Linked DNA regions of Oryzias latipes. The protein of the gene in region 1 binds, or shares a complex with, the protein of each later gene. Links are inferred from orthologs where the notes say so. Each region holds a gene or a part of one and is shown on either strand. Other genes may lie near its edges. The genes, in order: nsun4; transcription termination factor 4, mitochondrial.

Region 1 (4,290 bases):
TCACGTAAATAAAGCTTCACAAAATCCTCCAGGTCTTTCATCTTCCAGCACGGCTTCAATAAACAGACAACTTGGTGTTTATGTTCTCATTATTTAAGGCTTTTTTTCTCATTAATTCACTGAACAAATTTTTTTTTTCCAATTTTAAAAACACAAATTTAGAAGAAAAAAAGCCATAGATTTAGCCTCTGACTTTAAAAGTGGGAAATATTACTTTCTTACAACTTGTCTCATAAATCTGACTTTCCTCTCATAAATTTTCCTTTTTTTGAAGTCGTAAATGTAAGAAATTTAAAGTAATAAATTTACAACTTTAAAAAAGACATACATTTACAAGAAAAAGTCATAAATTTACAACTTTATTCTCAAAATATTTAAATTTTCTCGTAAATCTACGACTTACGACGCAATTAATAAAAACCTTTTTTGTAAAATGGTCCGAATACTCCCTTATACTCCTGCGTTGATGAGCTTTTTTCTAACAGTGATTGTTCTTGGAGCACATTGTTCTTCATAGCAGTAAGTTGACCCCTCAAAGCTACAGAGTAGATTTATTTGGTTTGTATTATTTAAAGAAATTTACCTGCTGTGTTCATTCGTACCCTTTAAAAAATAACAACGCAGCATTGTGTCTCTGTCAAAGTATTACTCAAAATTATAAACCTCAAGGCCACATTTACTGACACTAACTACAGTGTAATTATGAAATTTGGAACTAACAAACTTTTTAGACCAATATTTTCAACACTTTATCTAGCTGCACATAGAGGAAAGAGCTTTAAAAAAATCAAATGAGGATTAAGAATAAAGTCTCATCCATTACAAGTTTAATTGAAATATTTTTCTATATTTAACGTTTTTAACTGTAGAATCTAGAAAATATACGGGAAATTTAAATTTCAACCAGAAAGAAGAATAAATTAAAGTGTTCTTTCTTCAAGCAAACAAATAAAGCACTTAAAAAGTGCATCCCACTTCTGTAATTCCTTACAAGTTTGACAAATATTCCTCTAACTTTGTGGGAAAATAAATAATAAATCACAAAAATAAAAACTTTTGTACAAATGTGTCCAATCTATGACTTCTGTGAATCAAACTTACAGGAGCAGCTCCGCCTGTAGCTGTGGCAGCCTTCGTCTCTCTCCAGTCCTGCTTTTACTGAATATATTGTTGTCATCCTCCATAAGTGAATGCCGGTCTGTGGTGCACGGAACATCAACAAGGACCTGAACTCAAAAACAAAAGTACCTGATCAGGTCAGGAATTTCCGAAAGGTCAAAATAAATGTTTTTTTTTGGTGGTGGGGCCTTACTCTGTCAAATGTGTTTTTCTCAATCTCCCCCCATGTGGTGCCATCAAACGAGCTGATGCGGACTCGCTCATCTGTCAGAAACTGTTTAGGAACATAGCTGTGGAGGACTTTCCTCAGCCGTGATGTTCTAGAAGTCGAGGCATCGTTTACACACAAAAACCCTGTTGGGTAAACACAACGTGGAGAGAAATTAGGAAAACTAGAAGTCAGAGAGAGACCAAGAAAGATGTTTAAGAGAAATGAGTGATCACTCACTCACGAGCTGAGTCTGAAGTAAAGCCAGGGTCTTTCCGCCTGGAGCAGCACACAGATCAAGCACAGTGTGACCTTCCTGAACATCAAGCGCCAAACATGGCAACACAGACGCTGCATCCATGAGGTAGTAGCCCAACAGGCCGTGGCTATCTGGTCTTAAGTAAAAGATACCAGAAGATCAAACTGCAGTGACCTTCAGAAAAAAAAATTCAGACGTTTGCTCACCTGGCAGGCTTAAATCGAGTGACATCACCTCTTGGAAACACATAGCACTTGATATTTGGGCTGAGTGGTGGAGGAGACAATTGTTGATCATTACCATCAGCACCACTGGTTTGCTTCTTAGCACCAATCTCCGATGGTTCAGCTACAGAGACAAAGAATGTAGCAACTGACCTCTGACCTTTTACACAGAAAATAATCAGCAACATCACTGCAAATGCTGTGAACCAAAACATACCCCCTCCATGTCTTTCACTGATGAAGTCTCTACATCTCTGGGCTTGGAGATCAGTTATACCAACGTCAACATCAAAGGAGAAATTATTGAGCAGGGCGCCATACTTCTTCTCTGTCAACAGGGCGACTCGCACTGAGGGCCACAGCTCCCCCAGCTGGGTACCATAGGTGGCGTCAAAATGCTGCAGGGCCAGCCTGGTGGGTGGGTGTTTGACACGTGTCGCAGCCTAAAAAGAGCAAAACAAATGTTATTTTTTTTTTTTTACAATTTAACTGTTCTGTTTTGTTTATTTATTTGTAGCAGTTTTGTATTTGTCTAATAACGTAAATCTAAAAGGTAATAAAACTATACTATTTTATTATTTTATTCATTAAATGTAAACAAAAAAGTTTCCCACCCACAGTAAATTTATAAATATACTTTTTTTTAAATAGAAGGAAAAAAATGAACCTGAGGTAATGTATAACACACATTTTAACAAGCAGGTGGTAAATAATAATTATTAGCTTAAATCTTTATTTTCAGTGGGTGCTGAGTAAAACAATAGTTCTCTTATGTCGTAAAATCAAAATTATTATAGACTTTCTATTTGCACTTTCTTTAAATAGAATTAAACAAACATTACAAACGGCTTTTTGTATTAAAGGTTTTTAAATGTACCCATTTCTCTTTGACTCGGTTCCTCCGGGGCGTCAAAAACCTTACATCTGTCGTTTTTCTGAGCAGAAGCCTGCTGCTCGGTAGAAACAAGGCCATGCTTCGGTCCAACCCGGTTTATGCTCCGTCGTTCCCGTCGATTCACAAAAAACATAGTTCCGCACTTGCACGTAAAAAAAGCAATTGGCCAGGGCAAAGCTTAACTCTAATATGATTGGACAACATAAACGTCAATCATAATTGAACCAATAGAATGTGATTTTGCGTGAGTTTTTTTTTATTCGGAGCAGTTTCCGGCGTGTGACCGACCTTGCTTTCTCCAGTAGGGACATTGACGAGTCGTGAGTTTGATTCGCCGACTTTTCGAGAAGGTTCGCCGGTGGAAAAAAAAATGGGATTTGAGACGAAGATGCTTACATACGGAGAGCCGGACGATGAGGTATGAAAAGTACTATCAATCACCATTTTGAGTTACTATAGAAGCTAAAGTTTTAAGCTTGTCAGCTAACTCTGCTGCTCAGAGTAAGTTTAGCTGTAACGTTCGGCTTCATGCCCCAACCCCAACTCAGTCACGTACTCCCACTGTATACTATAAGTGTGTCTAGAAGCACTAGCATGTTGCTGTAGAGACAGTTAGAAATTGTATACAAAAGTTAGGAGTAAAATACTTTTCTTGAGGCTTAATTTGTAAAATTACAGTCCTTTGATTTATCAAACTCAGCACAATAGATAAACTAGTGTTTATGTAGGAGGAAGATGCACCTGCAGAGGAGGAGGAAGAAGAAGAAGAGGAGGAGGAAGAAATGGTGGTAAGTATGAAAATTATGTAAACTGAGTATTATATTCATACTTGTTTAGTTTATTTATAAGCTAAGAAATCAGATACATAAATGAAGTAGTTTAAGTCTGTTCCGCTGCCGTCCCAGACTGCAAGGACCAGATTGTTCTTTTTTCTTATTGCGCCTTTGAGCAAAGATTTCACCCCCACCACATTCTCAAAATCTGTACACACCCAGTTCCCAGGGAGAGGGAAATCTAGGCATGGCGAACGACCCTACCCCTCCCAACAAGCGATGACATTACAGCTGGGAAAAAACGTCTAAAAATGAATGTGGTGCAAAAACCTATTTTAAAAGACATTAACAAAACCAAAACACACGTGTAGGGATATCATAGGGAAGTTTTGAAATTATTATGGGATGGCCACACGACCTATAACCTGTAGACTGTAAAAACAATGGATGAATCGATCCGTTCATGCACGCTCAAATTTTAAGTCACTTCCTCCTCCTTATTGCCACAATTAAGCAATTTGATTTATATTTACTCGGGCTGCACGGTGGTGCAGTGGTTGGCACTCTTGCCTCACAGCAAGAAGGCCCCCGGTTCAAGTCCGGGCTGGGGGACATGAAAAAGACAACATCAATGGGGGACCTTTCTGTGTGGAGTTTGCATGTTCTCCCCGTGCATGCGTGGGTTTTCTCCGGGATCTCCGGCTTCCTCCCACTGTCCAAAAACATGCTTCATAGGTTGATTGGCAACTCTAAATTGTCCAAAGGTGTGAGTGTGAGAGTGAATGGATGTGTGATTGAGGATATTCCACCCT
Region 2 (4,155 bases), about 9.5 Mb from region 1:
CTGTTAAGGCTGATCCACCCCAAACTCAAATATTTGCATGGATTTGGGTTCATGCATTGTTGCTTGCATGTATATTTCAGCCCCACCCCTATAGTTTCTGCTAGAATGAGATCTGAACTCGCCAAACAAATCTCCTTTTTGGTTTTATCCGAACTCCAACCTTAGTACAGTTACATTTACCTGACATCATCACCCTTCCCTCCTCTGAGCATATCCAAGCCATCTCAATTTCTTTGCCTGCATTTTTCTTCAAAACATCTAACATTATCTTTTCCTCCGATGTTTTTATTCCTGATCCTATCCATCCTGGTCCCTTCCAAAGAGAACCTCAACATTTTCAGCTGTGTCTCTTTTACCTTTCCTTTCATTCTTGCTGACATTCTTTAGACAAACTTCATACCTAAAACCTTCCTCCACTCATTCCAACCTGCTTCCTCAAGCCTTTTCACCTCTTTCCCAAAATCTGTTGTCCTGAACAACTCCAACGTACTTTTTTGCCACTTCAGACTTCCTTATTAAAACCAGTGACTTCTGAACTAAGTCGTGCTCCATAACAGGCGCCTCTTCCACTCTGCTTTCTCTAATTTTCCTCATTTATCAGATCTTCAAAGTTCCTCTTCCATCTTTCCATCACACTTGAGGAACCTGTCAACACACTTTAATCTCAGTCCTTGATCCCCAAAACTAGCTGCACATTCTTTCATCTCTGTTTCTCTGCCTTGTCAACCTGTATAAACCCACCTATCCATCCGTTGTGCCCAACCTGTCTTATAAGTCTTCATATGCCCTTTGTTTGGCTTCTGCCACCTTCCCCTACTGCTGCATTTCATGTTTTTTGTCTGCTGTCTTCTGTCCTCTCAGTGTCCCACTTTTCTTTTCTTCTTTTTTTATTCACAGTAGGATAGAACATCTTAAAAAAACTTTAAGATGTTCTAAAAGCATTAAAAAGCATTTCTCTCTTTCCAGATCGTCTCTTGAAAAATAGGATATCATCCTTTTTTCTTCCTTTGCAACATCTCAAACAAACTAGTTTTCCCTGTTAACAAACTTCCATTTAGTTTCTACTCTACACGGCTGTTTCTCCTTTACTGTTTACCTATGACCATGCCTCCCTCCTTCCCTTTGACCAACAACAGTCTATTCATGGTCACATATGATTTTCCTTTGACCAACAACAGTCTATTCATGGTCGCATATCTGATTTGCCTTGGGTTTTTGTCAGAAGCTCCTCCTGACCCCAACCCTCAGCATGTACCTGAACATGGGACTGGCACACCAAAGCAATGGATTTGACTTTGTATTAGTAGCCACAAATGGCTCAGCAATAAATTATTTTATCAAATCAGTTTATATTTTTAAATGACCTCCCTTTTTTCCATACTCGTTTTATTTGACTAATTTTTAAATACAAGCATAAACTAGAACTAAAACGAACGGAACCTTTCAATGTATTGCTGTAGTTTCTAGACGGAACAGAATATGCCACGGACAAGCATGGGTATGCGAATTGCTGCTAGGCAGGTGATTGAAGGTTTATGTGTATACAACTTTAAATATATTTACGGTGCAGGTTAAGTTTATTCCCAAGTATACCGTGTTAATTTATTGAATGATAAAAATAAAAGTGTTGACAGATCCTCTCCTTTTTTTAAAATAACCTTCTCTTGTTTGCCTAACTCTCTGTACTGGCATGTCCTTTTATTATTTCTTATTAACTTGTTTATTTTTGAATCCAGCTGTTAGTGAACCAATTTACGATAAAACATTGCTTTGATTTGCAGATATTTTACTGGACTTGTAGGGATTCGTCCTTCGTGTTTAGTCTTCCCCACGCCAGGATACATCATCTCCCGTGTCTGCGCTTTGGAACCAGAGGGCTGTGCTCTTCCTCAGATCATTTTCAGTCAAATCAGCGACCCCATGAACCACCTCCATGGACAGCAAAGCCGGTTTCCGAGCTGTCCCCGCGCTCTCTGGTTGACATGGGCTGCACAGACTCACAGGCTGAGGAAATATACCAATGTGTGTGCAGCATCAGAGGAGAAGGAGCTGCCAGACATGCTTTATCAACACTTACAGCCCTTTTTGTCCTGGGTCTTAATTCCTCCAGTGTGGTGAAAGTGCTTAACAAATGTCCTGAACTATGTAGTGTCAAAGAGGTACAGCTTCAGCAGAGAATAAGCAACCTGCGGAAGCTGGGATTACTGGAAGGTGAGTATGATCATGTATCATAAGATCACACAAAAAAGAGCAAATGCTGCACTTAACCAGCTCAAACCCCCTATTTTACCTGTTTCTCACATAGGGAGTCTTCAGAGAGTTGTGGTCCACTACCCTAAAATACTGACTGTGCCTGTGAAGTCAGTCAAAAATGTGGTGCTCTTTCTCAAAGAGAAGTGCCTTTTTACAACGCAGCAGGTCACAGACATCCTCAGAGACAGTCCAGCCGTGGTACTGGAGGACAAGAATCAACTGGAGTACAAGTTTCAGGTCAGCAAACAAGATGATCTGTATATTTATACATGTTAAAATAAAATACTAATGATCAAAAACAACTGGTAAACCTGTCACATATAACACTGGTCTGGGAGGAGTTGTTCCTCTGACTGAAATACAGTACAACAATGCAGATTTATTAACTTCCTCAAAGCACCAATTAAAATTTATGACCCGCAGCAGTAAAATTGTAAAATGCAGCTAGTTTTTGTTTGTTTGTTTGTTTGTTTTTTGTCTGGTGTGTGAAGAATGGTGAACCTTGCCATTTAAATCTTCGTGTTAGTCCGTATTTTGTTTTAAAAGATTTTTTTGTGTTGAAGAAATTCTCCCTGCTTGTTATTTATACCAGCATATGTTAACCCATCTGTCCACAGTATGTTTACTTCAGAATGGGAGTCAAACAGACAGATATGGTGAAGTGCAAGATGTTTCGTTTCACTCTCGATGAGCTGCGCTGTCGACACCTTTTTCTTGAGCGGCGAGGCCTGTACCAGACCCCAGATAAGAAGGGACAGACGACCATCATCAACCCCAAACTGGCCAGCATCCTCGATGTGGACCAGGACACCTTCGTCACAAGTGTTGCCCGGGCATCTGCAGAAGAATATGATGTGTTTCAGAAACTTGTGGCAAGAGAGTGGAAGGAGGAGGGGTTACAGGGCAAAATAGAAGCTGATAGTGATGCTGAAGAAGATGAGGGGGAGGAGGAGGAGATTGGTGGAAGAAATGGATATAGAAAGACAAAAAAGAAATAACAGTTTAAGACAAAAAATGAAATGGAGAAGGAATACAATTTTATGAAAAGCAAAAAGGAAGTTTTCTAAAAAAAAAAAAAAAAACAAGGATACAATTGTGCTGTTTTATAAGCAGATAATAAAAATTTTATCTTAACCAAACATGCAGCATTGCTTCTCAGCCTCTTCTATTTAATTAGGATCTATTTGATGTGGAGTTGACTTTTTTGTGTTTATTTAAGTGTTGTCATCGGGATGCTGGTGTGAGACAGAGTTAAATGACGGTAAGCTGACATTATTTCAGAGTTCTGATCATTTAGATACCAGCTAAAATTGATTTCTAGTTGCAACTTTTTTGCCAAGTTATAAACAGAACAGATATGAAACTCAATTTAGGTCAATAAAAAACACTAACAAAAAAGAAAAATGCATAAAGAGCTTTAGCTTCCCCTTTTTTTAAAATTTAGATTTAAACTAAAAATTGCAAACCGGTAAAAACAACACCGTATTGAGCACTTACAATGGTAAAAGCTCCACCCTGTTGCTATGTGATACCCAAGTGCCTGTAGCTTTTTGCATCTATAAGTTATCACTGAGTCAACAAAGAGTACATCAGATAAGGACATGGAATGAGAGAAGTCATACACAAACCATTGATTTATGCTGCAGTGGGTGGTTTTCCGTATTGGACGCAAGGTAAGGTTGTTTGGATCTGTCAACAGCTTTTACTCGATATTTTTTTGTTTTAGCTTTCTATTAAAGTGAGAGATTCTACATAAGCAGTAAGGATTCAGAGTAATAGCGTTATAAAGCCACTTCTGTTCTCAAAAATGATCATACAGAGAAAAAAAGTTTGTTAAATTTGAGAAGCTATCTTATAAAAAACATTTTTGTCCACAGTATAAGTATTTGTTGAACTTGTAAT

Evidence for each region.
Region 2: the proteins of nsun4 (region 1) and transcription termination factor 4, mitochondrial are in contact, whole or in part, in a crystal structure (PDB 4FP9), measured with the Homo sapiens proteins. The link is inferred for Oryzias latipes from reciprocal best matches to the Homo sapiens genes NSUN4 and MTERF4. Residues at the interface, in NP_950245.2 of Homo sapiens: Pro61, Ser62, Arg64, Val65, Leu68, Ser69, Glu70, Arg136, Gly137, Asp138, Ile139, Arg141, Asn367, Leu368, Met369; in NP_872307.2 of Homo sapiens: Tyr267, Glu269, Arg270, Leu271, Gly272, Arg273, Glu311, Glu312, Val315, Phe316, Lys318, Leu319, Arg322, Glu323, Glu326.

The regions. Positions count from the first base shown.
Region 1 is NC_019875.2:13,892,355-13,896,644, forward strand, and holds the start of nsun4 (5-methylcytosine rRNA methyltransferase NSUN4), read right to left. Parts: upstream 2,827-4,290; 5' UTR 2,784-2,826; coding exon 2,688-2,783; intron 2,254-2,687; coding exon 2,028-2,253; intron 1,935-2,027; coding exon 1,793-1,934; intron 1,723-1,792; coding exon 1,568-1,722; intron 1,474-1,567; coding exon 1,313-1,473; intron 1,227-1,312; coding exon 1,102-1,226; intron 1-1,101. Other genes in the region: cytochrome b-c1 complex subunit 6, mitochondrial, read left to right, coding at 3,076-3,123, 3,434-3,493. UniProt on the Homo sapiens protein: Mitochondrial RNA cytosine C(5)-methyltransferase that methylates cytosine to 5-methylcytosine (m5C) in various RNAs, such as rRNAs, mRNAs and some long non-coding RNAs (lncRNAs).
Region 2 is NC_019875.2:23,369,739-23,373,893, reverse strand, and holds transcription termination factor 4, mitochondrial, read left to right. Parts: upstream 1-1,393; 5' UTR 1,394-1,479; coding exon 1,480-1,521; intron 1,522-1,781; coding exon 1,782-2,211; intron 2,212-2,305; coding exon 2,306-2,490; intron 2,491-2,870; coding exon 2,871-3,251; 3' UTR 3,252-3,398; downstream 3,399-4,155. UniProt on the Homo sapiens protein: Regulator of mitochondrial ribosome biogenesis and translation. Binds to mitochondrial ribosomal RNAs 16S, 12S and 7S and targets NSUN4 RNA methyltransferase to the mitochondrial large ribosomal subunit (39S).